Pelodiscus sinensis: one gene and its partners. The protein of the gene in region 2 purifies or fractionates together with the protein of the main gene of each other region. This does not show direct contact. Links are inferred from orthologs where the notes say so. Each region holds a gene or a part of one and is shown on either strand. Other genes may lie near its edges.

Region 1 (10,736 bases), on a different chromosome or scaffold from region 2:
GCCTGAGTCTTCTCTTTTCAAGTCTAAACGAATCCAGTTATGTCAATCTTCCCTCCTAGATCATGTTTTCTAGACCTTTAATCATTTGTTTTGCATTTCTCTGGACCTTCTCCAATTTCGCTGCATCTTTCATGAAACGTGGAACCCAGAACTGGACATAATGCCCCAGTTGAGGCCTAATCAGCACAGAGCAGAGCAGAAGAATGTCTTTGTGTGTTTTGCTCACAACACTCCTGTTAATGCATCCCAGAATCATGTTTGCTTTTTTTGCAATGGTGTTGCACTGTTGATTTATATTTAGCTTGTGGTCCACTATGACTCCATCCTAGGCAATCATTTCCCATTTTGTATGAGAGCAACTGATTGTTCCTTCCTTAGTAGGGATGTTAAAATGTTGAAAATTAACATGGGGGCAGTCAGCTCTCTGGGAGCTGGTGCGTACAGAGAGCTGGCTTAACCAGCTCCCCGTGCATACCGGTTCCTGCCTCCCCCCCTCTCAGGCAGCTTCAGAGGCAGCAGCATGGGAAGGGACAGATGGCAGATGTACTGGGAACCTGAATGTAACCGCATAGTACATGGTTACACTTTCACAACCCTATTCGTAAGTGGAGTATTTTGCATTTGTCTCAATTGAATTCATCCTATTTACCTCAGACCATTTATCTAGTTTGTCTAGATTATTTTGAATTATAACCCAATCCAGCAAAGCACTTGCAAACCCTTACCAGTTTGGTATCATCTGCAAACTTTATAAGTGTATTCTCTATGCCATTATCTAAATCATTGATGAAAATATTGAACAGAACTGGTCCCTACACTAATCCACTGCAAAACCCCACTCAGTATGCCCTGTCAACCATTGATAATACTATCTGGGAATGGTTATCCAACCAGTTATGCAACCAACTTAGGATGCATAGGATCCACCTTAGGAGCTCCATCTAAGTTGTATTTTCGTAGCTTTTTAATTAGAATGTCAGCAGGATTGTATCAAATGCTTTAATAAAGTCTAGATATACCACATCAATTTTTCCCCTTTATCCACAAGGCTTGTTATCCTGTCAGAGAAAGCTATCAAGTTGGTTTGACATGACTTGTTCTTGACAAATCCATACTGACTGTTACATATTTTATTATCTTCTAGATGTTTGCAAATGGATTCCTTAATTATTTGCTCCATTATCTTTCCTGGCGCAGAAGTTAAACTGATTGGTCTATAATTCCATGGCATACCCTTATTCCCTTTTTATAGATGGGCACTTTATTTGCCCTTTTCTAGTCTTCTGGAACCTCTCCTGTAGTCCATGAATTTTCAAAGATAATCGTTAATGGCACTGGTATCTCCTCAGTCAGCTCCTTGAGTAGTTTAGGATGCATTTTATGAGGTACTGGAGACTTGAAGACATCTAATTTAAGTAATTTTTAACTGTTCTTTGCCTATTTTAGCGACTGAACCCACACCTTTTCACAAGCATTTGCTATGTCAGGCATCAACCTTGGTTATGTTAGGGATCAACCTTATAGGTGAAAACCAAAACAAAGAAGTAATTAAGCACCTTTGCCTTTTCTAGGAATATAAAATCCCATTTAATCAGTTAACAGGTTAACATTTAACTGGTTAACCACTTAATTTCGATCCTGCGGTGTGACAGGTCCAGCCAGGCTGGAATGGTCTCCCCTGCCCTCAGTGTGACATGATGGGCCCTAGCTGGTCCTCCTGCCCACCCAAGGCATGGTATGGCATGATGGGCCCAGCTGGACTGAAGCTGCCCCCTGCCTGTCTGCAGTGCAGTGGGCCCGACTGGGTTGGAGCAGCCCCCGCCTGCCCGTTCACCCACCCACAGCATGGTGTGGAGGGCCCAGTCAAGCTGGAGAGGCCCACCCATCCACCCCTTGGATGATTGACTGCTCCATCCCAGCCAGGCCCGCCATGCTGTGGGCTGCTCCAGACAGGCCAGTCAACTGGTTATATCCCTACCTATTTCCACATTTTCTGTTAGTTTTTTCCTCTTTTTGTAACGGGCTGATCCTGTCCCTGCTCTTCTTTGTGCTTCTAATATATTTGTAGAATGTTTTCTTGTTATCCTTTATGTCTCTAGCTAGTCTGAGTTCATTTTGTGCCTTGTCCTTTCTAATTTTGCCCTTATATATTTGTGTTATGTGTTTATATTCATCCTTTATAACTTGACCCAGTTTCCAGTTTTTGTAAGACTCCTTTTGTTATTTTTAAATCATTTAAGATCTCCAGGTTAAACCAGCATGGTCTCTTGCTGTACTTCCTATCTATTGTATACAGTGAGATAATTTGCTCTTGTGCCTTTACTAACCTCTCTTTGAAAAACAACCGTCTTCAATTATTTTTCCTCTTAGACTTGCTTCTCATGGGATCTTATCTACCAACTCCCTGCATTTGCTATAGCTGCCTTCTTGAAATCCACTGTCTTTTTTTCCTGTTCTCCCTACAATCATTCTTTAAAATCATGCACTCTGTCATTTCATGATCACTTTCACCCAAGCTGTCTTCCAGTCTCAAATTCTCAGCCAATTCCTCCCTATTTGTTAAAATCAAACCAGAACAGCCTTCCCCAGTAGCTTTCTCCAGCTTCTGAAATAAAAAAAATGTCTCCAATACATTCCAAATACTTGTTGGATAATCTCTGCTCTGCTATGTTGTTTTCCTAACAGATCTCTAGATAATTGAAGTTTCCCAACACCACCAAGTCCTGTGCTTTGGATAGCTTTGTTGGTTATTTAAAAAAAAAAAAAAGCCTCATCCTTTTTAAAGCTGGCTCCTGCTTCTACACTCCTCCTGCTGCCTCTGGTATAGAGGCAGCAAGGAGGGGATTGCAAGTAGTCGACACGACTATTTTTTTTACATTGCTTAAAAGCTGGCTCCCTCCTTCCCCATGGTGAGGGGAGGGTGGGCAGGGAGGCAAAGATGCAGCAGTACTGTAGATCTGCCTTTTAAATATAGTAAAAGGTACCTGGCTCTTGCTACATTTAAAATCCAGAGGCACAGAGTGGAACCCAGGCAGCTTTTACTACATTTAAAAGGCAGAGCTGCAGCAGTCCAGGCCTGGCTCATGCTGGGTACCAGACCTACCCTCGCTGCAGCTATGCACGCCCAGCACCTACTACATGTAAACTGCATAACCCAAGTGACCTTTTATCAACTAATCATGTACTCAACACACATTATATCGAGTACACAATTAGTCATTTACTCACTACTTAACATTCTTAATTCCCATCCCATTAGGAGGACCTTAGTTATCCAGTGTGGGTCACGAGGACAGCATATTTATGGTGCCCCCAGTTACGCCGGGAATCTCAGATTCACTGACCGCACCACAAGAGAACCATTGACCTGGCTCTCAACCAGCGGTACACATACTTCGGGGGAAGGGATGTGCAGATATCTTTCAGGCGTCCATCAGCTTACCTACATATTTACCTGGTTTTACAACAGGCTACATAAAAAGCACCAGAAAAGTCACTCCAAACTAACGGTCGATGCAACTTATTTATACAGCGCACTGCAATATTTACAGCCCAACACATTTGACAATGCAGTGGAAGCAGGACAGTCAGCAACATTTCTGTGCCAGGTTTGTATTTTTGGCTGTGGCTAGACTGGCAAGTTTTTCCGCAAAAGCAGAAAAACTTGCCAGCTGTCTACACTGGCAGCTGGAATTTCCGCAAGAGTACTGACCATCTCATGTAAGAAATCAGTGCTTCTTGGGGAAATACTATGCTGCTCCTGTTCGGGCAAAAGTCCCTTTTGTGCAAAAGGGCCAGTGTAGACAGCTCAGATTTGTTTTGCGCAAAAAAGCCCCGATGGCGAAAATGGCGATCGGGGCTTTTTTGCGCAAAAGCACGTCTAGATTGGCACGGACGCTTTTCCACAAAAAGTGCTTTTGCGGAAAAGCGTCCTGCCAATCTAGACGCTCTTTTCCGCAAATGCTTTTAACGGAAAAACTTTTCCATTAAAAGCATTTGCGGAAAATCATGCCAGTCTCAACTAGCCTTTGAGTCTGAGACTGCACACAGGTCGTTTGTCAGAGCAGTGAAACCTGCGGGAGACACCAGCCCAGCCTCCTGCAGAGGGCCCCCCCCCATAGTATGAAATGGCTGAGCACCACGGACGTCTTGGCCACCGCCTCGCTGAGCTCAGTGTGCCGAAGGGCACGCTGGGACGTGTAGTCCTTACATGGGCACAAGGCAGGCTGAGACCTCTCGCCGCCACTGACTGCAGTGCATGCTGGGACGCGCCGCCTACGCGCCGTGCATGCTGGGAGTCGTAGTCCCCGCCAGCTGCGGGAAACTCAACAGAGAGGGGACAGGGGTCACTGCACCCCCGCCATCCCCTCTCGGCGCCTGCCGTCAATGCAGGCCGGGAGAGCTTACCTCAGCCGCCATGACCCCAGGCTGCGCGGTGGTGGGCAGCACCCCTAACGCTGGCTGCCCCTCAGGAGTCCCCAGGTCTCCTCAGCTGCCGCCGCCAGCGATTGAAACCCCTTCGATTCTTCGCGCTCTGCAGCAGCTAGCCCCGCCCCCCACCTCGAACCAATCACAGCTCGTGCTCTGCCTTCAGCCTCCGCCTTACTCGGCTCCCTAGTGGATGACTGGCCCGCCTTGCAGGTCTGCGAACCAATCGCCATCCGGCTCTGAGCCTGAGGGGGGCCCCGGCTGTGCCAGCATCCCATTGGCGCCTCACCGCTGTCAAGTCCCTCCCGGCTCGCTCATCGCCTCGTCTGCTCCGAAGGGATAGAGGGGCCCGCTGGGCCTGAGCCGCTCTAGCCGCACATCACGCAACTCGGGGCTAGTGACCCTGGCCAAATGGGATGGGGGCCGCAGTGCATGCTGGGGGCTGCCTGGTTTGGGCCTCCCTCTGGGGGCCCCCCCAAGTTCACAGGGGCCTTCCACTCTTAAGGGCCCTGTGCTAATGTTATTGCTAGTGCTGGACCCCCCCCTCCCCCCATCCTCTCCGCCCTGGAGCCCTGTGTCCTAAACCCGCTGTGGAGAGCCAAGCAGGACAGACCCCCTTCCAGTCCAGTGCCGGGCGGCGTCTGCTCTTTCTGCCCGCGCAGCCTGCTGCCAACGTACAGCCGCCCCCACCTGCGTGCGTCGCCCCTCGACTTCTTGAACTGGACTCCTCGAAGGGCAGGACTGCGCGACGGGTCAGCTCGACGGGGCCGCAGCCTGCGCTGGAAGCTGGGGTTCTGTGCCGCGGCTCAGGAGAGATTCAAATGCTGCCCTGCTGACGAGCAGAGCCCCCACCCACTAGGTTTTTGTGTCTGCTGGTGGTAGGGATCATAGAACCATAGAACCATAGAGCTGGAAGAGACCTCAGAAGGTCATCAAGTCCAGTCCCCTGCTCTAGGCAGGACCAATTCCAACTAAATGACTAATCGATTAGTCGATGTAAATGACTAATTGATTAGTCAACTATCCGATAAGCAAAAGTTTATCAGATCGTTGACACATTAGTTGACTTGTCGCTTCCCCCCACCTTGCTGCCTCTGTCAGAAAGGGGCAGTAAGACAGGGGAGAGGTGTGGGTGTTGGGGGGAGCTGGTTTAAAAGCTGGTTCCCCCCAGCTCCATGGGAGGGAACAAGAGCACAGCGGGGGCGTTCCACCTTTGAAATGTGCAAGAGTCCCCACTGGCCCTCTTGTATATTTCAAAGCAGAAGCGCTGCAGGGATCCTGGGGCCAGCGAGAGATTCAGAGTCCCCCACTGGCCCCAGGCTCCATGTGGTATTTCAATCTTTGAAATGCACAAGATCCCCTATGTACATTTCAAAGGTGAAACGCTGTGCAGCACTTCCACCTTTGAAATGTAGCAATAGCCGGGAGCGCTCTTGCTACATTTCAAAGCAGAAGCGCCCTTATCAACAAATTGAACAGTTGATTAATCTAATTTTAACATCCCTAGCTGGTGTTGCATATTTGCAAATGCATTGGTGCATATAAAATTTATTCTGCACATGGATAGAAAATATTAGTGGGAACATTGTCCAGCGGGTGTTAATAGACACAATAAATTGACCAGTGATCATTCTTCTGTCAACTCTATAGACATCTATATGGCTCTACCAAGAGTTCGTCAGCAATCTAAAAATAAAAATGGAATTCTACAAAAAGTGGAAACATGGACAATTTGTTAAGAAGCCATACAAACATATAAGGATAAAATTAAGGCACAAAATAAGTTACATCTAACAAGGGCCATAAAGAGTAATAAGAAAAGGTTCTATAAATACATTAGCAAGAGAGGTGAAGGAAATACGTTCTCTTGTTAGCGGGGGAAGGACATCTAATAACAGTTGACAATAAGGCTTAGGAGTTTAATATCTGTTTTGTTTCACTTATCACTAAAAAGGTAAATTCTGTTTTGTTTCACTTATCACTAAAAAGGTAAATTCTGGGGTATTTATGCCCCAGGACAATACCGTTATGTTTGGATTACATATATTCTAGTATTGCACCTTGGTTAATCTATTACATGGAAGCCCTGTTGTTACTAAATTCACTTTCTGCAGCTTCTGTAGTATCAGTTATTTGAATCAATCCTGTTTGGTATCTGGGAGCGAGGTTTTCAACAGTTATGGGTCTGTGCATTACATTTTGTTAGGAGCAAAAATTAATAATCACATTTCTTCTCTGGGTTTACAAACTATACTGATGGCTCTGCTTGCCTGATGAATTTGACAGATCTGCAAATTACATTGGTAATTATGTAAAAGCCACTTTGTGGGCAAGAACCAAGTTAGTAGCTGAAATGGTTTTATTTAAGTGACGTAATTGCAGATAGAGATACATATTTCAACAGAGTGTAAATACTGTTGTGGCCAATTAAGATTTCCCATTTGTCACTATGCTGCATACCATGGCCAAGGGAATTTAATGGTGGCAGCAGAGAGAGAACTGTGTTCCACAAGGAAATGCTGCAACCTCTCGAGCAAAAGGAAAACGTTTATTAGCTCTTAGCAATACAGGGTTTATGATACACATCAGTTCTCATTTTATCCAGCGGACAGCAGTGGTGCACACTCATCAGCAAAGTCATTACAAAAGCATTTTTAGACTAAAAGAAAAGCATGTAGTCACAGAAGCTGACATTTAAAATCCTGAGAATGCAGCTGAATCAATTATATAACATGAAGGCACATGTACTTGGTTGAATTTAACAAGCAGTTCAAAAGCAATTTTACATACTTAAGTACATGCTTATAAAGCCAAAAATAAATAACTTACTTTTTCTGATTCCTCAACACAACAGTGATCAGCCAGCCATTACTCAGCCAGCAAAATACAATTTTGTGCTAACATTTAGCAAAAACAACACTTAAGAATTTCAAAATTAAAAATTTGCAGAATTCATGAGAGTGTAAAATGATGACAACCAAAGCCTACCAAGCAAGCTTCACAAAGTATTAATCATGGTTAGTACATTAGTACATCGGTGTACTGTAGGTTTTCAAATATTGGTCTAAATTCATTCTTGGTGTTACTTTTATTTTACAATGTAACAGGGACACAAAAGGAGATTCCTAGAATGATATGGTCAGAACAATTTTCAGAAAGCTCAGGTCCATTTGTAAAGTTTTAAAATTAAGAAATCTGATTAGATACAGCAGATCTGCCTATTCATTGATTTCTTCAAGAGAACTTTCTTCTGCAATAGGCCAGTTAGGAGACACATGGGGCACATTAACCCACAAAATCAGTTCATTCAAGAGACACCCACTGACAGGTCAGCATGCGAATGCAAAATTATTCATTGTCTTACAAAAGTATGTAGAATCAACTAGATAACCTAGCCATTGGCAAGCCTTAGTGCAGCTGTGCACTGGGAATGCCAGCTGATCTGCAGACACATCTTGGCCTGGATCTACAAAAGGATTTGGATCTTGTCTACATTACGTGGGGAATCAATGTCTGCTTAGACACAATAAATCGATCTCCAAGTGTGCTTCCACTGATGCCAATACTCCACCAAGATGAGAAATGTAGCCAGCATCAACAGGAGAGCAGCTCCCCCTGACCTTACCTCACGCAAGACGCTGTGGTAAGTATGTCAACTTCAGCTCCACTATGTGAAGTAGATCAACTGCACAGGTAAGTGTAGACAAGGCGTCACAGTGCCTATCTTTTAAGAGCCTCAAAAATCATAGGAACAACACTGTGACCCACACAGCTGCACACATAGACATCTGGGCTCTCTATACAATGAAGGGAAGGAGAGAGACTATCATTTTAAAATGCAATCCACAAAAGCCAGCACTCTATTGACTATAGACCTAAACTGATGACAGTGTGTGTTAAGCTCCACTTCTCTGAAAGATAGCTGAAGTTTTGACTGTAGCTACTTAGTGATCCATTACTGGGAAGCTGCTGCCTAGAGTCAGGCAGCCTAGGCACCTGTTATGGAGATGAGTTAGCTACTCTGCTGCCCTTGAGCTACAGGAAAAGGATGGAGGAAGAGGAGGAGATCATGTTAGAGTGCTTCTTCTCAGCTGTGAGGTTTCAGGTTCAATTCCCACTGGGGTGGGGAAAGGAGACCCCTATTCAATTCCTAGTTCTCAGAAGACTTCCTGAGCTCTGGGATAATCTGGTGTGGGACTTCCTTAGTCTCTCCTGTTGAAGCTGTTCCACTGTGGATGCTTAGAGAAGGGCAACTGACCTAGGGCCTTAGCACTGGGCTAGAGAGTCAGTATTCCCTGAAAACTTAGATGCTATAGAGGAGTTGTTTTGTGGATCACAGTGGAGGGAAAACTAGGACTTACAGGTACCTAAACCTGAGACATAGGCACCCAAGTACCTTTGTAGTACTAGGCTCTGGTTTATTTGCTTAGCCATTTTTGGCAGAGATAACGTGGCTGTATGATTCTCTGTACTGCGTGGGAGTACATGCTAGAACATAGAGGTGGAGGGATGTGGCATGTGATCATTTCTCATCCAAGTTTCCCTAGCCACTAAAAGGGCCTTCTACATTTACTTTGGTATATCTAGCTTGCTTTACTTGCACCAAGCCAGATGCCTGTAAAATGCTAATGGCTACATCTATACTGCTTACTTCTTGTGCACAAGCCTATGCAAATAGAGCACACATTAGTATATTATTGCGCTTCATTTGCATAATTATTTAGGGGCCGCTTTTGCGCAAGAGGTTTTTGCGCAAAAAGGAGCTGTGTAGATGCCTAGGGAATCTTTGTATCAAACACTCTTCAAGAGAGTGTTCCATAGTTACAGCAAGGGAGGCTCAGCTGTATTCCAGCCTTATATCTTCCTAGTATTATTTATATATAAAGAGATGTATGTATGTTGTTTTACAGAGTGGTGAAAAGACAGGACTCCCTGCCCATGACAATGTTTAGTATAAACAGGCAACAATGCAGATGAAGGAAAGGAGGTGACATCAAATCAGCAGATATATTTCAGTGTTACACTAATTATTTATTATGAATTATTATTATTAATATTGTAGCAATGGAAGAGCATGCGGGGTGGCAATTACACCTCAAATTAGGGCTTATGTGGGACCTAAAGGGTGCATACACTGATGGTTGTGGACGATGGCACAGGAGGGAGCTCCAGCATCAGAGAGTAAACCAGTTGTAATTCCAACATACGCGAAGTGCAGCTACTTCCTCACAACCCAGGAAACACCCTTTGGCTTCTGTTTTTAAATAGCCCAAGAAACCCACAACCTTCTGCCTTTCAGGAAGCTCAATCACTGAATAGAAAGTTTATAGTCACAAGATCCATATTTCGCCTGGTGGTGAAAGGAGGCTGGTATTTCAGAATTTTACTAGCAGTGTTGAATGCTTGCCTTCACTTGTTCAGAAAGTTGGCAGCCCTGTGCATAAAAAGTGAAGTTAGTGAAGTGGTTAAAAAAAGAGAGAATTACTAAACAAGGAAGAATGTAAACAAGCATAGCCCACACCAGAGTGTAGTTTACCAAATGAGCAATGCCTTTGAAATGATAGCAAATAAACAATACATATATATATTGCTTCCTGGCTTTGTTAAATTTCAAATAACAATATCTAATCCACCAAGGTATCCAGATAAATTACAATGTGCTCTGTAGGGCCACACTCTGTCAATGGCAGACTCTCTGTATCCACATGAAGCCACACAGATTTCTGCCAGCCTACAGCTCATTGTAAGATTGAAGCCAAAGTTGGTATTTGTGCTCCAGGCTGGGAGCTAGGCAGATGGAGTTCTGTGAATACACACCCACTATAAAGTTGTCACAGATCTCTCCAACTCACTAAATAATAGCTACGCCAGCCGTATCGCTGTAGAGAAACATGGCCTGAATCAGGATGTTCATATAAAATCTAATTATATTCTCGTTTAAGGTTAAAGTACCACTGCAATGCAGTGGAGATGTATCCTTACAAACATCAGATCTCCAAGCAAACTCTTCAACAGGAAAATGAGAAAGCCGTGTAAACAACTTAGTAGCTATGCTAGAGGCTTAAATGGGAGTCAAAGAAGTCCTGATTTGTGGTCATAATCAATACAGGGTTTAAACTTTATTCAAATACAGTTTTGTATCTAGTTTGTGTATCTTATTTTGATGCTGTTTCGAAATACGGTAGCTTATTTTGTCATTTGGTGCTGTCCACACAGCACCAAGTTTCGAAATAAAGCACTACTCCAAAATGTCCCTTACTCCTCATAGAATGAGATTTATAGGTACATCGGAATAGCAAGCCCGAAAT
Region 2 (9,884 bases):
CTGGTCCCACATGGCTAATGCCCCTGCCCCCCAGGAGCAGCCCCTGCTCCGACAGCTCCCCAGCGGGTGATGGGGTCCTCCTACCATGCTGGGGGCCTGAGAAAGGTGTCCGAGAACCCCTCGTCCTTACGGCAGGCTCTGGCCAGACTCAGCAGAGCCCACTCACCGGGCAGGGGCGTGCAGGGCGTTGGCGCACAGCTCCTTGTCGAAAACGGCCTGCAGCAACTCGCACTCTTGGAACGACAGGTTGTGGGTCTTGGTGACGCCTGCCAAGGGCACAGGGACAACGGCTCAGGGATCCCCCATCATGGCCATCAGCAGACCCGGAGCCTGCGCAATGCGCCTCCCCAGCCCGGCCTTGTGTTCAGTAGGGAACCAGGCCAGGGGTCTGCCCCTCCTCCACACCCTCCAAGCTTCACTCATCCCTAGCCACCTGCACGCGTCCCTTCTGCTCCCTGGTACCTCGCACTGGGAGCTAGGTGGGTAGAGGTCCGCTGGCCCCAGGCCTCAATCCAGGCTCCCTTGCTTGACTATTGAGATGATCCCTCCCAGTGGAGGGCTCCCCAATCACCACCCCCCTCCACTAATGGGGCTTCCTAGATGCCTCTTCTTGCCCCCACAGGGCGGCACTCACCATATTTGCAGTGCAGCTGCACGACCAGTCGGCTGGCCCGGGGCTTCAGGGATATCAGACACTTCTCGACCGTCTTCTCCAGCGAGGGCAATGAGCGGAACACACCCAGGAAGGACTGGGAGGAGAGAGACACACCCCCAACCCTGTCACTACCCTCACTGCCTGCCACACAGCTGGGGAAACAGCCTCATGGAGCAGCTCCACCCAGCATAGCCGGGGACAGAATCCAGGAGCCCTGGCTCCCGGCTCCCCTGCTGTAACCACAAGACACCGATTCCCCTCCCAGAGTCAGGGAAAGAACCTAGGAATCCTGCCTCCCAGCCCTCCTGCTGTAACCCAGGAAAGAACCCAGAAGTCCCAGTTCCCACCAGGATTCTTTTCCATGGAACAGGGTGGTCACAAGCCCCTGATACCTGCTCCCCCCTCCTCGTGCCAGCTACACTCACTGCCAAGGGTGAAGAGAGTCACCACTCCTGATCCCTGCAGGGCACCCCACGGAGAGTCCCACATCATTGACACAGAGACCAGGGACAAACTGCTAGGAGAAAGCTCTCCCTGGGCAACTGAGCCCAGCCCCACACACAGACAATCGAGCCAGGGCCCTCTGCAGGACTCCCCACATCCCAGTTACTCCTGTGCCTTGCCCCCGGGCACCCCAATGAAACCTGTCCTGGATGCCCCACACAGCAGCCTCACCTTCATGAGGACCTTACAGCGGAAGGTCTCCCCATCGGGGTCTGGGCTCCCCTCCTCGTAAAGCTGGAAAAAGAGCGGGGCAAACAGGAAGCAGGCGTAGGCCGAGCGGGAGGAGTTGACAGCACGTAGAGAGAGCTGTGGAAGGGAGAGCCAACCCCTTCATTAAACAGTCTCTCCCCCCGACCCTTACCAGGAGAGAGCCTGCCCTGTCACCACCCAGCACCTCATCCCCAGCAGCTCCTCAGGGAAGAGCCAGCTCCATCACCAACCAGGGTGACCCAACTTACTCCCCTAGGAGCCCTGCGATAAATAACCCCCAAACCCTGATGGAAGCTCTCTCCCTTCAGTTCTCCCCTCCCCCTCGGATCAGAACAGTGCCCCCACCCCCACTGGTTAGAGCTGCACCCTTACCCCGTCCTCCGTGGGCTCTACGTAGAGCTCGTCTCCGATGCGGGACAGAGAATGCACAGCTTTCCCGAGGACTGAGGGGGAAAGAGAGAGACTGTGACCCAGGGCCTGTCTCCACCTAGTATCCCCAGGTCCAGCCCCATCTTGTCCTCACTCCCCTTAACTCCAGCTCTCTGAGGCAGGAAACACAGCCATTTGCAGCCAGTGCCTCCTAGAGGGAAAGGCCCCTGATCCGTTCCCCCCCCTGCTGAGCCAGCCACTCCCCCCCCGCCTTGGGGCCAGATGGGAGCTGGTACCTGCCACATGCCCCATTCCCCACCCCATGCCCAGATGGTAGCCCGGCACTCACCTTTGACATTGCCCCCGGTAACAAGGCACCTCATGGCAACAGAGTGATGCAGATGGGCTCTCCCCACCCTTGCAGGCGGGTTTCAAACCCCCATTCCAATCACAGCGCCCTGAACCCTGAGATAATCCAGCCCGGTGATGGAGAGAGTCTACCTCCGGCGCTGCACAGGGACCTCTTCCAGGGACAAATAAGTAGAAAATGCTGGAGAGAGACCACATCCTAAATCAGTCATGAAGATCCTACCACCCGCAGGCTAGATTTGGTCCCTGGCTTACTTGGATCCAGCCTGCAGGGCTGCAGTGTGAGCCCCAAACCTGCTGGGAGTCAGGTCAGTGAGGTGGGTTTTTGGGGTTTTGTTTTGCTTCTCAGGTATGTGTGGCCCTCACTGATTTTTTTGTGGGCCAGTGGCCCACCCCACCCCTAAATAATCAACTCAGTACATTCCTAGCTCTTTTCCCCTGAAGGCTACCAAAGCATTTCCCCATACCCAGCACCAACCTGCAGCCACCTCTGAGGGGAAGGAGGACAGCTGTTTAACAGCCACACAGGAGTGCCAAGCAGGAACCCCTGTCAGACTGAAGCTCCAGGAGGAATCAAGAGAGGTAGATGCACCTTCTTAGCCCCTTGCTGCAGCTCTTAATCTTACCCCTCTCCCTTCTTGGGGCTCACTCCTTTGCCCTCAGGCCAACTGTCCCTTCCAACTCCCTGTACAGTTTTGTGGCTATTCTCAACCTTGGGGTTTGTCAATCCCTGTCTGGTATCAAGAGCCCCAGCTTCTAACACAACATCCAACTGCCTCAGCTCTGCATAGAATAGGGCTCGTTCCTGCTGTGGGAGATGCACACTGAGTCTCAACCAGCACCGGCCTGTCCTGCATCCTCATCCCATCACAGACCCAGGTGGTCTCCTTTGCCACCTGCCCTGCTCCCAGATCCTTCTGGCCACTCCAGCTGCCCCAGGTTCTGGCTGCCAGATCATCCCTCCCACATGTCCTGGCTACACTTAATCATAGAATCATAGGACTGGAAGGGACCTCAAGAGGTCATCGAGTCCAGCCCCCCGCCCTCAAGGCAGGACCAAGCTCCATCTACACCATCCCTGACAGATGTCTATCTAACCTGTTCTTAAATATCTCCAGAGAGGGAGATTCCACCACCTCTCTTGGCAATTTATTCCAATGTTTGACCACCCTGACAGTTAGAAATTTTTTCCTAATGTCCAATCTAAACCTCCCCTGCTGCACTTTAAGCCCATTACTCCTTGTCCTGTCCTCAGAAACCAAGAGGAACAAATTTTCTCCTTCCTCCTTGTGACACCCTTTTAGATATTTGAAAACCGCTATCATGTCCCCCCTTAATCTTCTTTTTTCCAAACTAAACAAGCCCAGTTCATGAAGCCTGGCTTCATAGGTCATGTTCTCTAAACCTTTAATCATTCTTGTCGCTCTTCTCTGTACCCTTTCCAATTTCTCCACATCTTTCTTGAAATGTGGCGCCCAGAACTGGACACAGTACTCCAGCTGAGGCCTAACTAGTGCAGAGTAGAGCGGCAGAATGACTTCACGAGTTTTGCTTACAACACACCTGTTGATACAACCTAGAATCATATTTGCTTTTTTTGCAACAGCATCATACTGTTGACTCATATTCAACTTGTGGTCCACTATGACCCCTAGATCCCTGTGCTTCTGATTTTGCAACTTGCAGCCCAGAGCCTTTCTTTTAACCAGTCTCTCTTCTCTCCCCAGTTCCATTTCTATGTCCTGTGCTGATTACAATGGCTTATCATTTTCACAGTGTCTCCTTAGTGAGCTGGGCATGCCCTCTTCCAGGGCACCAGCCACCCTGGGGTGGGAAGATGCATTAGTCACTGTGATGTGGCTGTCTAAACAGGATGTTAAGGATGTGCTGAGCCAATCAATCTATTGCTTGGGTTAGTGAGACTGAACATCTCGTGCTGTTTTGCCCACCTCTCCCCTAAGTCCTCAGCTGGACACGGATCACTGACCACACTGGGAACCAAGGCCAGACACAGCTGGGATGCCCAGGCGATAGCTCTTTTTGTTAGTCCGGTGCCTGCAGCCCTAAAAGCCAGTTTCTGCTACTCTCCCTGTGCATTCCCATCCAAAGGGCTCGGAAGGGCTTATTGATGCCGCTCCAGCCTTAGAGCTGCTCTCCGGCATAGGAAACAGAAATCCAAGGGAAGATGCTGCTGCCAATGGAGTTGTGCAGCTACTGGGAGCATCAACACACTCTGCAGCACCGAGTCCTCCCCACCACCCACTGCCTCCCTGGTACCTGTCAGGCCCTATTCCCACAAGCTGCACCCCTGCCACGTGTCCGGCACCCCGTCCTGGCCCACCCCACACATTGCCCCCCGGCACCCCGTCCCACCCCACATGCTGCCCCCTGGCACCCCGTCCCGTCCCACCCCACGCAAGGTCCCTGCCGTGGCCCCGCCCATCCACTACAGCCCCGCCCATTTCCACCGTGGCCCCGCCCCCTCACACCTGGCCCGGGGGTCGCTCCTCGCCCCTGATGCACGCGGGGGATCCTGCAGAGACAGCACTTGTGCCTGATGGTCTCGCCCAGCACCCCCCACAATTGCCGCGCCCGGCCGCCACTCGCCTCCTCTCCTCCAGCCGTCTTCCCATTGGCCGAGCCCTGCCTTGCGTCGCCTTTTAGCGCATCCTATTGGTTCTCGGGTCACGTGGCGGGGGAAAGCCAGCTCTTCTCGTCATGTGACAAAGTCTCCGGGGAGGAGCCGCGCCGGTTTAGCGAGCATTGGAACTCCCGGGGTGGAGCCTCTTTGTGGCTGTCCCCGCGTCACCTAGGCCGCTGCGCCGGGTGGACCCGTCCCCAGCTGCCATTGGAGGAGCCGCACGCCGCTGATTGGCTGGGCCGATAGAGGGACAGAACTACCAGCCAATGGGGCTTCGAATGTGGGAGGTAACGTAGCGGGGTCCATCCAGAGCCTCAGCTCGGCCTAGGCGCCTTCGTCTCCCCTCAGACACCCCCAGCCCAGGCCTGCCTCTGCCACCCCCGCAGGGCAGGTCTTGCCCTGCTCACCTGGGATCCCCTCAGGGACCCCCTGCCCCGCCTAGGCCCTGCCCCTGCCCCATGGGACCCCCCCCCCAGCCCAGGTCCTGCCCCTGCCCCATGGTCCCCCCCCAGCCCAGGTCCTGCCCCTGCCCCATGCCCCCTCCCCCAGCCCAGGTCCTGCCCCTACCCCATGGTCCCCCCTCCCCCAGCCCAGGTCCTGCCCCTACCCCATGGTCCCCCCTCCCCCAGCCCAGGTCCTGCCCCTGCCCCCCCCCCCCAGCCCAGGTCCTGCCCCTGCCAGCCCTCACAGCTCTTTCACTAGAGTCTGTATCCTCCCCCCCCCCCAAGCTCAGCCCCCCCCTTCCCCCAGACACCCCCTTCCAAGGCCACAGACAGCTCACACTAGGCCCAGGCTCCTTTCCTGCCCCATATCAGAGTCACCCCCACACACCCCATGGCCTGGGCTGTCTTCCCAAAACCACACTTGCCCCCCCCACCAGAGTACCCTCCCTGCTTCCTGAGTCTGTTCCCTTGGGCCCCCCCCCCCATCCTGCGCTTGGAGACTCAGGACTCAGATTCCCTCCCCAGGCCCCCAGACTTGCTACCCTAGTTTGCTGGAGGCTGTGATCGCCAAGAGCAACCGCAGTCTGCCTCTTTGTGGCGGCGCTCAGCCATTCCCTGACACTGGCACCCCGTCCGGATATAAGGATGAGGCCAGGGAGCATCAGGCCAAGAGGAACCTTTGCAAGGGCTTTCCTAGCACCTTCCCAGCTCGGGATGCTCTGCCAGGCTGCAGCGCCCTCCCTGTGCCCCAGCTGAGCAGAATCGTGGAGCCTCCCCCAACCCAGCACAGGTGAATTATGTTTAGTTGAGCAGCTCTGTTCTGGTGCGTGGCTGTCAAACCCGCCTTGTGGGGCCCTGTACTCATCTCAGTGACACAAAAGCCTCGTATGTCCCAGGAACATGCTTGAAGACTTCCCAGCCTTGTAGCACCACCAGCAAGAATGATTTGGCTGGCCACAGCCTGACCTATGTGCAGTCCACACCCCATCTGTCCTGTGACCTTCCCCTTCCTCACCTTTGAGTCCTGCCCCTGGGTGAGTCCCACACAACCCTAACCCCTTTGCCTTCATTAGTTTGCCCAAGTGTAACCAAGAGCCCTTGGGCAGAGCTAACCATCCTGCTGATGTTGTGTGAGCCAGATTAGCAGCTGGTTCTCTAACCCGTCACTGGGCTGAATCTATGGGGCAAACCAGAAGTTTTGTTTCCCTGAGAAATGGGAGTTCTGACTGTTTCTCCAAGGGGCATTCTGTGCAGCACAAAAGGGCTTTTATGCTACAGGTACTTCTTGCTGCTAACTGCAACTCTGTCCCCTCCCTTCTGTGACTCCAGGCATTGGGAGCATATGGCCCTGGTAGCCTCATATCCCCTTGCAGCAGCTGTACATGAAAGTTCCTTTTAGTGTGAGCAGACCTCTGAGAGTGCTTTTATAGGGGAGGGAAACTGAGTCCAGGCTGGGAGAGATGTATAGCTTGTTATCTTAGGGGTTTGCCTAAGCTTATCAGTTAATCGTATAGTCCACTACAAGTTGACATCCCTACTTATTCCAAGAAGAAAATGGTAGCATTAGGTCCCACAATCCATTGAGTCATAAATATGTGTCTGTGAAGCATTTACCCTCCTTTCTCTCCCACCTTGTTTCATTTCCTTTCTTTTTTAAAATGTCTCTCTCTGGTTAATATGTTTAGGGTGTGTTGCTTAAGTGTGTGGGACATGAGGGATGGTGGAGGAGATGAACCGTAGAAGTGAGAGCCCTGGGCTGTGTCTACATTGGCCCCTATTCCGTAATAGGGATGCAAATGTAGCACTTTGGAATAGGCAAATCCGTGGGGGATTTAAATATCCCCCGTGGCATTTGCATTAACATGGCTGCCGCTTTTTTCTGGCTTGGAGATAAGCCGGAGAAAAGCGCCAGTCTGGACGCGATCCTCCGGAAAATAAGCTCTTTTTCAGAGGATCTCTTATTCCTACTTCCAAGCCGGAAAAAAGCGGCAGCCATGTTAATGCAAATGCCGTGGGGGATATTTAAATCCCCCACGGATTTGCCTATTCCAAAGTGCTACATTTGCATCCCTATTACGGAATAGGGGCCAATGTAGACACAGCCCTGGAGTCTAGAGCCCTCTCTGAATCTCCTAGAACAGGTACAGCCAGAGAAGCTGGAGGATTAAGTCCCCACCATCCCTGAATTAGCCTAATGACTGTCTGGAACAGTAACTTTTTGGCTTTTCTGTTGAGGCTGCTGCAAGCTCTTTAGGTGGTACCCATTAGGATTGTGGATGTTGGGGACTGGTTATGTATGGGATTTCTGTGCCTACTGTAGAATGGGCTCTGGGTGCAGTCCTGCAGAGAGGAAAAGAATGAGAATTGCATCGCTATGCTTATGAAGTGGGCTCTTGGTTTAGCCTTCAGAAGGAAGAGAAGAATTGGACATTAGTGGCCCCTGGAAGGGACTCTTGGCACAGCCCCTCTTCCTCCCAGAAGAACTAGATTTGGTGTTTAGAGTGTCCGTTCCAGCTCTTGAAAAGCAGCCGGGCTCCTATGGAGCAAGCATCCCCTGAGGATCTCTGGCCTCGGGGCTCAGAGTTTTATGGGGCTGTGGATAGGACACAGCTGGCTGGGATCGTGACACACACACCTCTGCAGTGTCCAAAGCCATGTGCACCCCTCCCCTCCTCTCTCCTGACCTCCCAGATCCTGTGTTGGAGAAGACACATGGGAAGCTTGCACTAGGCGAGGGGGCGGGTGGGGGGGGGGGGGACATAAGTCTGTGGAGCCCTTAAATTAGGTCAAGGAGAATCTATAACCCCTCTGAGGAAGACTGACCCTGTGTGAATATGGGAATGTCAACATACTGCAGCGCTCCCAACCAACCAAGCCACTCGCACGGAGTCAGATCTCTCAAGTGCCACCATCATTGCTCCCCCAGTCCTCATTCATACAAGGTCAGCCCTGCTTATTCCCCAGCCCTTCCCTGTCCCGGCAGTCACACAGGATCAGCACCCCCTGCTCCCTAGCACTGCTCCCCCCTCTCATTCATGCAGGGTGTGACGTAGTGGGGGTACCTGGCTGGTTTCTATGCTGCTGGCTCTGGGGGAACCCCCACTGGCTGCCGTGGGTACCACGACCCAGCAAAACAGGATGAGTCACTATGCAAACCAGTGGCCAGACACCCCCCATGGAGAGGAACAAAGGAAGGTGGAATGCTGCCTTGGCTGGGGGGCAGGGCTGGAAGTTAGTGAGTTGGTTGCTGGCTGTCGGAGGGCATGGAGGAGAGCCTAGGGGAAGGGGCTGGAGTTTAGGGGCCCAGTCTCCCCCATCTCAAGGGGGCCTGAGGCATCCTAGCCCAGTTCCTGTAACCAGATTACATCTGTGCTGCGCTGTGCTGGAGGAGCAATAAACCACCCTCAATTCCACTGGCTGGTGCAGTCTGTTTGTGCCATTTCGGGGTGCAGGAGACGGGGAACCCCCAACGCGCCGTCACACTGGTGTCAGAAGTGGGATGCACTGCACCCCGTGGATGGAGCTTCCAGCGGCAAGCGACAAGGCGCAGTAGAAGCAAGAGCCCTGGAGCCAGGCGTGCTGGAGACAGAGCGAAGCGGTTCCTGGGAATCGTGGGGCGCTGCAGCACTAGACTGGTGAGTCTGCACCGAGGGGCCCAGCGGGCAGATGGCCTACGCCCGACTCTTGAAGGCAGAGCTGGTGGGGCTGTGCAGAGAGAGGGGCTTGCCTGTGCAGAAAGCAACCAAGGCCCAGCTGATTGCTCAGCTAGAAGAGAACGACCAGCCACAGGGCCAGGATCTTGTCCCCATGGGAAGCAGCCAGACCCCCCCTGAGAGTGTGTCAGGCTCAGAGAGGGGGAGGAGCGCTGGAACCCACAGGAGAGATGAGACAGCTTCCCCCAGGAGGCCTGCAAGCTGCAGCCCATCTAGGGCAGGGGCCAGCCAAGCAGAGCTGCGGCGGCTGGAGATCCAGCTGCGGATCAAGGAATTGGAAGTAGAGGACCGAGAGAGGGACCGCCAGGACCGAGAAAGGGATCGCCAAGATCGAGAGAGGCAGCGGCAGCATGAGCTGGCCATGGCAGAGCGGAGAACCGGCGGGGCACCGGCTGCGCCAAGTGCGGATGGGCCCCAGGGTCCCAGGACTGCCAGATGCTTGGAGAGGCCCGTGGTGGCCCAATTGAAGGACATGGGTGACATAGACGGGTTCCTCAGTGCCTTTGAGAGGGCCTGTGGACTGCAACGGGTTCCCCCAGCTGACTGGCTGCAGGAGCTCATCCCCGCACTGAGCCAGGAGGCGGCCGGAGTGCTCAGTCAGCTGGAGGACCTACAGCCCGGGGATTACAACCGAGTCAAGGAGGCCCTGCTGCACAAGTTCGGGCTGACCCCCGAGATGTACAGGAAGAAGTTCCGGGGGGTACAGAAAGGGCCACGGGAGACCTATGTGGATCTGGCCTCCCGCCTGGCGCAATACGGCCGCAAGTGGGTGTCTGGAGTCGGAGCCCAGACTGCAGAGGAGCTGCTCAAGCTGGTCATGATGGAGCAGTTCTATGCAGCGTGCCCACCCAAACTGAGGCTGTGGCTCAAGGACCGGAGACCAGAGAACCCCCAGGAGGCCGGGAGACTGGCGGATGAGTTCACGGAGAGCCGGTCCGGGTGTGAACGGGAGTCCCGGAGAGAAAGGGAACCGCGCAGAG
Region 3 (10,338 bases), on a different chromosome or scaffold from region 2:
GGTCCAGCCCCACCCCTCCACAATCCTGCCCTCCCTTCACAAACAAAAGGAAGTTTTTCTTCACTCAGTGCACAGTCAGCCTGTGGAACTCCTTGCCAGAGGATGTGGTGAAGGCTAGAACTTTAACAGGGTTCAAAAAAGAGCTAGATAGATTCATGGAGGTTAGGTCCATCAATGGCTATTAGCCAGGATGGGTAGGAATAGTGTCCCTAGCCTCTGTTTGCCTGGAGGGGGATGACAGGGGAGGGATCACGTGAGGATTACTTGTTGTGTTCCCTCCCTCTGGGGCATCTGGCATTGGCCACTTTTGGCAGACAGGATATTGGGCTGGACGAACCTTTGGTCTGACCCAGTATAGCCGTTCTTATGTTCTTATGATGAAAGGAAGGTTGCTGGCCAGTTCCAGGCAAAGGGGGCAGCATGACTGGCATGCAAAGCTGGAAGCAGGAACAGAGAAGAAAAGATAATATGCAAGGGGGAGTTAAGTAAAAGCCAAGTTCAGAACCATCATGTATATTACAATATATTTTACAACTGAAATCTATATCCACTCAATGCTCTTTGGAATACCCTAGTGGCACTTCAGTGTTGTCATCTGTTAATTACAATGGGTTCTCAGGAAAATTAATTAGATTTGCTGAGTTCTGATTGGAATGATTGCTTTTCCCTACATGTTTTTAAAGAAATAGCTTGTTTTGGAGAAGTACATTATCTTAATATAATTGTGTCATTTCACCCAAATCATATTACACTGAGATATTATGTGACCTACAACCTGTTTCAAACCTTCATGAGCTGTGGGGGTGGAAAAACCTTTAATGTTAAATATCAGGCTCCAGTGCCAATGATAACAAATATACATTGGAGGCAGATACAGTGCAATAGCACTAAGCCTATCATTACAGAAGATTTAATAATGGGAAAAATTGTTTGTGCCCTTTTTTGCTTTTTTTCATTGTATTTTATTTTTGAAGATTGAAACTCCTTTCTTGCATATTCCATTTTTCCTAAGAGACTATGACCTGCTGGGATGTTGGCATATGTATAACATTAGAGGCACCAAGCAAGAAAATTGATTAATAAAAAGGAATATTTTATTGAAATTGTTTTGAACTCTGGGATGCTTTATGGTTGTTTTTTAACACCTTTAACACACATTTGAGAGCAAAACCTCTTTTTTTTGTTAATAATTCAGTTTGTCCACCAATACAACTAAGGCTAAGAAACTCCAGAGCCCACATCTCTAAATGACTGGAGTCCACCAGCAAAAACAGGAAAAATTAAAACAAAAAATCAGAAATGTCAAGTTTTAAATTAATAAAAAAAAAGATTATTTTCAATAAAAAGGAAATTCATATGCTAAGTCTTCAGGCCTCCATTATACATCACACAGAAGAAAGGGGCATATTATTTTTTTCTGCTTTGTGCTCTACGTGCTGTTTGATTTACATTTGGAACTGTGCATTGTTTGTGATCATGATTTAAAACACTTAAAGTTTCATAGTCTCCCATTCTTAGACAAACTAAGTGACTCACTCCGCTCTTTCCATTCTCCTTTCATTATGCTAAAGATTTAAGGATAACCTCTCATCACACTAAAATGTTTTATAAGAGATCTAACACAATCTTGCTTTTTGCAAGATTGGAGTACACTGATTTCTCCATATACCGGCATGCCAATATCGTCCCATTCAATATTCCTTCCAGCTTAAGCAGATGATGAGTTCCAAATATGTACGTGTGGATAATGTTTCGTGACTAACAAAAATATGCCACTCAGGACACTTATAACTTTGAATTAAATAACTGGGGATGTGTTCAAGATAATCCTTTTACCTATTGCTCCCTGTCTCCAAAAAGTGAAGTTTTATTCAAATTATTTCAAAAGCAAGAGCTCTTAACAGTTTTTTTTTCAGTGTTACAAAAGGCAATTTAACCAATTAAGGCTCACAACTGGATCCCAAGGGCCTGCAAAGCCCCATGGGTAATTCCCAGGGGCGCTAGAGCAATTTTTATAAATAGGGTACTGACGATGGAAACCACATATTTGGTATTATTACTTCAAAACAGGGAGTGCAGGAGTACCTCTAGTTCCAGCACACCGGTAATTCCCCCTGAGCCGGTGCCTGCACGCCATGTGATGGGAGCTCACTGCAAGACTGGGGCAAAGTATTTCTAGGGGTCCAGACGCTAAGAGGAGGAAAATCAGCATAGTTTCCAACATTTCCTGTTCTGGTGACAGGGCCGTCCTTAGGGTGGGGGAAACAGAGCAGTGGCTGGTCCATAGGGTGCGGGGCTACACTCAGGGCTGCAGGGGCAGGAGCAGTGTAAGGAGGCGTAAGTGTGGGAACTCAGGGGCGCTGCAGCACCCCCACCTTTACGTGGATTCCTCGCTGCTGCCAACCCCACATCCCGGGTCCGGCTGCTATCCAGGGCTCCACCACTTGCCCTGAACCTCAGCTTCCAGCCCTGTCTGGGTCCCTGCACCGTGAAGTGGAGTGGATAACCACGGACTGAGCACAGCCCGGGGTGGAGGATGGCTGCTGGCATCAGCACTGCCCAGCACCTTGTGGTCCCCTTTTGCAGTGGTGGCCTTAGGCCAGTGGTTCTCAAACTGTGGTCCTTGGACCACCACCTTCCAGGTAGTCCGCAGCTCAAGGTCAGCCCCGTCCTTCCCCCCACTTCCTGCCTCCCTCCTTCTCCCTGCAGCAGGAAGCTTGCACTGGCTCTCCAGCCTCGTGCTCTCACTCCCACCAGCAAGGTTGGTGCATCACTGCTGAGTTTCCTCTGTGGTGGACGGGAAGCCCTGAGCCTCCCTGCCAGATTATGGGGAAGAAGTGGAGCCGGAAGCAGCTCTGTGCACTGACACTCTCCCTCCCACTTCTTCAGCTGGGGAAACAGCAGTGCACAGCCCCTCTGCCTGCAGGCTTTCTCTGCTGCTCCAATTGGCCGGATTGACTGGGAGCAGCATGGCGCACAAAAGCAAACAAGTGCTCTTTCTTCCCCTCATGCCCAGATCCTGCATTCTCACCCTGCTTCTGCACCGCTCCCCACTGAGACCCCGTATTACCAGGCCACTCCTGCACCCTTCTCCCTGGCCAGACACCCGACCACCAGCCTTCTCCTGCACCCTCTCCCCTGGTTAGACACCCTTCTCCCCCACCCTACTCCTGCATGCTCCCTTGCTCTTGCACTCTACCCCTGGCCAGACACCCTCAACCCGCTCAAGCACCCTCTCTTGCTCCTGCAACCTTCCTCCTGGCCAGACGCCCAGCCCATGGTAATCCCTGAACTGCAGTCTTCCCTGTCCCTCTCCTTGACCCCATGGGGCTGAAACCCCACAGGAGTGAGGTGTCCCAGTTGGGGGCCACATCAGTGAGGGCTGGGGGGTTTTGGATGGATTTGTTTTGCTTTTCACTTGTGTGGTCTCCAACTGATTTTTCTGTGGGTTAGAGGCCTCTGAGCCAAAAACAGTTCCTCACCCCTGCCAAAACATTGAAACCTTTTGTGTTGAACATAAAGTAATACTTCAGAGGGGTAGCCAAGTAGTCTGTAACAGGAAAAACTTTAAAAACAACAAGTAGTCTAGTAGCACTTTATAGACTAACAAAACATGTAGATCAGGGGTCTCCAACCTTTTTAACCACAAGATCACTTTTTTAATTTAAGAGCCATGTAAAATCTACCTCAAACCCAAATAACCTTGCCCCGTTTTCTTCCAGCCCCTTCTTTGAGGCCCTACCCCTTCTTCACCCCTTCTCCGAGGCCTCACCCTCACCCTGCTCACTCCATCCCCCTTCCTCCCACATCCTCACTCTTTTTCACCGGGCTGGGGTCAGGGGTTGGGGTGAAGGTTCTGGTCTTTGGCTAAGGGATTTGGAGTGTGGGAGGGGCTTCGGGCTTAGCCCAGGGTGGGGGATTGAGGTCCAGGAGGGGTTTCAAGGTGCAAGCTCTGGGCTGGGACAGGGTTTCAGGAAGCAGGCTCTGGCTGGGCACCGTTTAATTGAGACAGCTTCCGGGTGGTGGAACAGTGGGGCAGGGCAACCGGTCCATATAGGCGAACTAGGTGGTCTCCTAGGGCACCAAGTTAAATGGGGCACCAAATGATGGCACAATATCATTGAGGGGTTTGGAGGTGGGGGCGCTGATTGCATGGTTCGCCTAGGGCGCCAGTTGCTTGCAGCTAGTCTAGGGCCGCCCCTGCAGTGGAGTTAAGGCAGTCTTACTCCAGTCCTGGCCCTGCACCACTCCTGAAAGCAGCTAGCATGTAAAGCAATGGCTCCATGCTGCCCCTCATCACAGGCACTGAGCCCACGGCTTCTACTGGCCACAGTTCCCCATTACTGATCAATGGGAGCTGCAGGAGTGGTGTCTGCAGGCAAGGACAGCATGTGGAGACCCCCTGCTCTCCCTTTCTCAGGAGCTGCATGAACATGCCAGCCACTTCCAGGAGCAGCAATTCCCACAGGGGTAATTACTCCAGCCATGACAGGTTAAGCATTTTAGAACTCACTCCTCAAAGAAATACATTTAAGCATAAGAGAGAAATGAAAATTATGAAATGAACAGACTAGTCAGAAACCAAAAATAAAACACTTCACAAAGAGTAACAGAAGTAACAACAACCCACATTTCTGTTAGGTTGGGAGATGTGAGTGAAGGGCAGTATGTGTTTGTGAGAATGATAGAGACACACATTGTGTGAGAGTGACAGAGATTTGCACTGCCAAGCTCCCGCCATCCCCTTCTCTCTGTGTGGAGACAGGGTACAGGAGTGGGGGGAGGAGGGACACTCTGACATCAGCACCCCCCATCCTCTCCCTCCCACATCCTGCACAGCAAGAAAGAGGCTCCCAGGGGGACAGCTCCAAGGCAGCCGGCAGGAGCAGCATAAGTGTGGGTGGAGGAGTAACTGGAGTGACAGTGCTTGATAGCTTCCTGGCCAAACCAGTCAGGATCACCTGTCAGAGGCTCCAAGCTCTACCAGTAGATCCTGATCTACTGGTTGGTGACCATTGATGTAGATGGTATCACAAGGTTGTTTTTCCTTTATAAAGTAATTCTGTAATTTATTTAAAATGAAGTTTAATAAACTAACATAAGAAAATTAAAACATTTAATTAAAACTCTTTAATAATTTAACATTTCCTTTCTTACTGGTTAAGGTTAAATCAAACCATTCTCTCTACCTCCAGCACTAGCAAAATGACTCAGGCATAATTATGTAATTAATGGCGAGTTTCCATTAGCAACTGGTGGTCCAGGGAAAGGTTTGCGTAGAAACATGTGAGGTTTGAAAACCACTGCCCTAGGTGTACATAGCAGGCACTAAAAGTGGGGCTTCCTGCCCTACAGTGCTGAGGATTCAGCATATGCCTAAGGATGGTGATTTTGTCAGGTTTTGTGTTCCTTCAAGCCCCACCTCCAGGATTCAGGCGACTCTCATTTTTTTTTATTATTATTATTATTAACCAAACAAGCAAGCTCCTCCACCTATGGTTGCAGAGGAAAGCTGCAGAATGCTTGGGAGAATGCTGGCTTAAGCCAAGCGCAGCGCTCAGAAGGCCAATCCACTGCAGCGGTGCTGGAACTAGGGGCACTCTTGCACCCCGGGGGCCTGCTGTGGGTTCCAGCCATTGCAGCTCAGTGCAAGGATCAGTGGCTCGCTTGCCCCGCGGGCCCAGCACCAAGGTGGCCGCGCGCTCAGCACCTGGCCCGAAAGCCACGTGCGCAGCCCCAGCGCGCGCGGGCAGCCGGGGAAGGGGAGGGGCGGGCAGCCGCGCGCTCTCGCGAGGCCCGGGAGCTGTTTGAGCGCGAGCCGCCGGGCTCTCCTGCTGCCCCGGGCGCGGACTGAGCGCCCCGCTGCAAAGGCGGGGAGGGGGCGCGCGCGGCCCCATGGAGTCTGCAGCCCCCAAGCAGCCGCCGCCGCCCGCCGGGAAAAGCAGGAACCTGCCATGGTAGGAGAAGCACAGAGCCTGGGCCCAGCGGTGCCGCGCAGCTGGGGTCGGGCCCGTCCAGCCCTGCCCCCCCCTCCCCCGATGCATGCTAAAGGGGGGGTTGGGTCCCTGCATCCCCCCTTTTCCCGCCAATTGCACGCGGGAGCTGGCATGGGGTGTGCAGGGGAGCTAGGATCCGCGAATCCAGCCCCCACTGTTGCATGCAAGAGCTGGCATGGGGTGTGCAGGGGAGCTAGGATCCGCGAATCCAGCCCCCACTGTTGCATGCAAGAGCTGGCATGGGGTGTGCAGGGGAGCTGGGATCCGCGAGTCCAGCCCCCACTGTTGCATGCAAGAGCTGGCATGGGGTGTGCAGGGGAGCTGGGATCCGCAAATCCAGCCCCCACTGTTGCATGCAAGAGCTGGCATGGGGTGTGCAGGGGAGCTAGGATCCGCGAGTCCAGCCCCCACTGTTGCATGCAAGAGCTGGCATGGGGTGTGCAGGGGAGCTGGGATCCGCGAATCCAGCCCCCACTGTTGCATGCAAGAGCTGGCATGGGGTGTGCAGGGGAGCTGGGATCCGCGAGTCCAGCCCCCACTGTTGCATGCAAGAGCTGGCATGGGGTGTGCAGGGGAGCTGGGATCCGCGAGTCCAGCCCCCACTGTTGCATGCAAGAGCTGGCATGGGGTGTGCAGGGGAGCTGGGATCCGCGAGTCCAGCCCCCACTGTTGCATGCAAGAGCTGGCATGGGGTGTGCAGGGGAGCTGGGATCCGCGAATCCAGCCCCCACTGTTGCATGTAAGAGCTGGCATGGGGTGTGCAGGGGAGCTGGGATCCGCGAATCCAGCCCCCACTGTTGCATGCAAGAGCTGGCATGGGGTGTGCAGGGGAGCTGGGATCCGCGAATCCAGCCCCCACTGTTGCATGCAAGAGCTGGCATGGGGTGTGCAGGGGAGCTGGGATCCGCGAATCCAGCCCCCACTGTTGCATGCAAGAGCTGGCATGGTGGAGCAGCTATGGCGTGGGGTTAGCTCCCTCTCCCCGCCCCCTTGCCCTGACTGCATGGAGGGCACAGCTCAGGCTATACAGCCCTGGGTTCTCCCTTCCTGTTTGCAACTCTTGCTTGCCCTCCCTCCCCTTGTGTCTCGTAGTTACAGGCTGCAGGCAGATGCGCTGCAATGGAGTATTCATTGCAAGGGATGAAGCTCGGTAAAGTTCAGGTTGTAGGAGAGGCCTAGGATAGCAGTAACAGCCGTTCCTAAAGTCAAAATAACTCCATGCCAAAGGGTTATGCAAATTGCCCCGGACTGTCCTCTCACCAGTGCTGGCACGGGGTAGGAAGTAGGATATAGCCCGCTTTTGTCAAAAATAGTTCTCTATGTCTTGCAGCCTTAGGAAGGGTCTGCCTCTCCTCCCCTTCCCAGATCTGGGGAAGCCACTCCTTCCTGAAGTGAGAAGAAGAGATGTTGGGGAAGGAAGGGCTGGCTTCAGATTCTGAGTTGGTGTAAATTGGTTCATGCTAGTTTGTTTCTCACCTGGTCTGATCTGGTGTGCCCTCCCCTGCCATCCATCTCCCCTGAGTAAATCAACAACCAAGTCTTTTATGACTTCAAATGCCATGTTCCTCCTGGGAGGTGGATCCCTGTATGTGGGGCAATTTGTCCAAAGTCAGCTGTTCCCTAGGGATTAATAGAAATAAGGCTACCCTGCTGTGGTGGCTCAGTGTTCACTGAGCCTGGCTTGCTTTACACTCAACACAGAACATCTGTTTAATAAAACATGGTGCCCAGCCAGTCCTGTACTCAGCCACGAGAGCGCACCTCAGCTGCTCTGTTCTAGTGGGATCATTTGCAATTCCCAACTCAGTTGACTCCAGCTTCTCTGCCCACCACCCGCAATCAATCCCCAGATTAACCCTTGTAAATGCCAGTGTGAAGACCTAGGACTTGCAGAGTATTTTGCGGTTAGAAGCATGGAGTTGGATCTAGTTCCTAAGGGCAGAGTTTTTCTAATTGTATAAGGCATGACAAAACTTTGGGGCATTTAAAGATATTGCAGATGCCAAAAGAGCAGGCTAGTCTTCAAAAGGGAACTTAGTCTCCAAAAGGGAACTGCAGGTGCCTGGATTGGGTTCTCTGTGCTAGGATTCAGCCAGGGCTTGGATTTGGCAATGCCGGAACCTAAGTTTGTGCAGAAAAATTACAAGTTCAGCTCATTTTGTGAGGGTTTTTTTGTCATCTTAAGGGTCAAACAGATCCCTTTGACTTGCAACCAGAACCACAAGGCTAGGTTCTGATGTCAGCCAAATCCAGAGTAGATTGAAGGTGAGTGTTTATCTAGCCTTGTGGGTGATTGTCCAGCATGGGGAAGAGAACAGAAAAATCTCATGTCTGGGACACCTGTTTTCTACACTTGTGAAAAGCCTGAAATCTCTGCTCATCATCTGCATTTATGTTAAAATACCTTTATCTTTAGGGTGGAAAAATATCGCCCTCAGACATTGAACGACCTAATTTCACACCAGGACATTCTGAGCACGAGTGAGTACTTAGTATTACCAGCATTTTTCTTTTGAGCCTCCTTATGGCCTTTACAGACATTAACTCCTGTGATACCTTTGGGCTTGGCAGCTATAATTTCCATTTTATAGATGGAGCCACTGAGGCAAAGGTCATCTGACTTGCCTAGGGTCACAGAGAAACTCAATGGAAGAGGTGGTAGCAGGACTTTGGCAGCAGGACTCCTGACTCCACATTATGTGACGGCAGAAGAGAAGCTGCATTATCTAATGACTGTGGAAACTAGCTTCTTTGCAATGGGTGGCAAGCTTGCAGAAACCAGTTAAATAGTCACTTCCTGTCATGCAATTAGTGATGTGTTGCCATGATTTTAACCAGGGTCTCATCATAAACCCTTTTAGGACATCCATGAGTCTTTTAGGGGGAAACTCTGGTTCTTTTATATGGGATGGTGGCCTAGACTCTGTAATGATCAGTGTGGAATTGCAGAGAGAGATGAAAGGTAGAAGATGCTACAGCTTCTTGGAATTAACCTGCTACGAGGCTGCTCTTTGCACTGGGAATGCCTTTCCTGCCTTCTGTCGTATTTTAGTCAGCTTTTTAGTGTCACTGTTGTAAGGAAAGTCAATCCAGCTTTACAGACTTGTGGAATTCCATGTATGCGGTTTTTTATGGTCCTCAAAAAGACCCATTCACATGTCCTCCTTGGTGTTAGTGGCCACAGATTTGTGACCGTGGGTACCTCAGCCAGCTGGGAGGATGAACCTGTCCACACTAGCAGTTCCCTGAAATTCCCCCGGTTTTATCCAACTCCCCAGCAATGGGCAGGTTGACCCGATTATTCAGCTGCAAGGCTTTCCTGAGGAATGTCTTTCCTTCACATTTCTGGCTAACATGACGGCTAATTAATATATCTGTCTTATACCCAGACACGTTCTAGGGCTGTGTTCTTGCTCCTCGGGGAGATTGTCCTCTTAGCTTCTTTTCCCCTTGAGGTGTTTGTGGCAGTTGCTGCACTGGCAGGCTTCCGAAAGTAAGCTAGGCAGAGAAAAGCAAGAGGCAAAAAACAAGGCCCATGCGCCCTGCTTCACTTCCCTCCATTGAGAGTTGTGTTGGGGAGGTCGGCTGGCTCTGTGGGCAGAGTGCAAGGAAAAGGGGCAGTCGGAATTGTTATAGCCTGCTTCTGAGGAGAGCAGCCCCTCTCTGGAAGAACAAACGAGGCCCATTCCTGCTTGACCCCACCACTTACAACATTCTAGCTCCCTTGGCTTCCATTTTAGGAGGCCTGAGGGAATCCCCAGTATGCACCAGTCACTACAGAGATGAACATGACCACCTCCCCTGCTGGTGGGGGATTCAGCACTTTGAACTGTGGGCACGGTCTCCTCACTAGACAGTCTCTTTGCAGGCAGCTACGCCCAGGCTGGTTGTCACCTCAGCCCCCTCTCCTGGGCAGGAAACTTAGCCTCTGTAGCTGAGGCTGGTGGCATCTGTGATGTGTTGAAATCCCATTGAGCTTGTCTTTCTTCCCTCCTCCACTCCCCCCCCCCCCCCCCCCGCCCTGCTTCAGCCTCCTGCAGTACTGACACAGAGAGAGCCTTTTTCAGTATAATACAGACACTGAGATCAGTTAAGCTCTGGGAAGGCTTAGCCAAAGGACTTTCTGTGGATAGCTGCTTTGGTGCTCAGGGCACAGCTCTTAAGTTAGATTTCTCAAGCAGAACTTTTAAGCGTTTTGGAGCGCAAAAAAAAATGTTGTTTCAAATGTGCTGCTCTCTTGTTGTACTCTGGGGGAATCTGGCAGGTGTTGCTGGAGTTCAGAATGCAGAAGGAACTAAAGGTTAGCCCTTCAATTCAAAGAGCAAGAAGACCAACAGCTCGT

What was found. The genes of interacting proteins can lie anywhere in the genome.
Region 1: the proteins of RAD9A (region 2) and CLSPN purify together in Homo sapiens (affinity purification with western blotting; 3 studies listed by BioGRID and IntAct, with this or other methods). This does not show direct contact. The link is inferred for Pelodiscus sinensis from reciprocal best matches to the Homo sapiens genes RAD9A and CLSPN.
Region 3: the proteins of RAD9A (region 2) and RFC5 purify together in Homo sapiens (affinity purification with mass spectrometry; 3 studies listed by BioGRID and IntAct, with this or other methods). This does not show direct contact. The link is inferred for Pelodiscus sinensis from reciprocal best matches to the Homo sapiens genes RAD9A and RFC5.

What each region holds. Positions count from the first base shown.
Region 1 is NC_134735.1:7,480,169-7,490,904, forward strand, and holds the start of CLSPN (claspin), read right to left. Parts: upstream 4,567-10,736; 5' UTR 4,420-4,566; coding exon 4,408-4,419; intron 1-4,407.
Region 2 is NC_134714.1:127,077,345-127,087,228, forward strand, and holds the start of RAD9A (cell cycle checkpoint control protein RAD9A), read right to left. Parts: upstream 4,753-9,884; 5' UTR 4,597-4,752; intron 2,289-4,596; 5' UTR 2,122-2,288; coding exon 2,088-2,121; intron 1,813-2,087; coding exon 1,742-1,812; intron 1,466-1,741; coding exon 1,331-1,465; intron 750-1,330; coding exon 635-749; intron 267-634; coding exon 167-266; intron 1-166. UniProt on the Homo sapiens protein: Component of the 9-1-1 cell-cycle checkpoint response complex that plays a major role in DNA repair. The 9-1-1 complex is recruited to DNA lesion upon damage by the RAD17-replication factor C (RFC) clamp loader complex.
Region 3 is NC_134725.1:10,996,955-11,007,292, reverse strand, and holds the start of RFC5 (replication factor C subunit 5), read left to right. Parts: upstream 1-5,772; 5' UTR 5,773-5,895; coding exon 5,896-5,957; intron 5,958-8,412; coding exon 8,413-8,477; intron 8,478-10,338. UniProt on the Homo sapiens protein: Subunit of the replication factor C (RFC) complex which acts during elongation of primed DNA templates by DNA polymerases delta and epsilon, and is necessary for ATP-dependent loading of proliferating cell nuclear antigen (PCNA) onto primed DNA.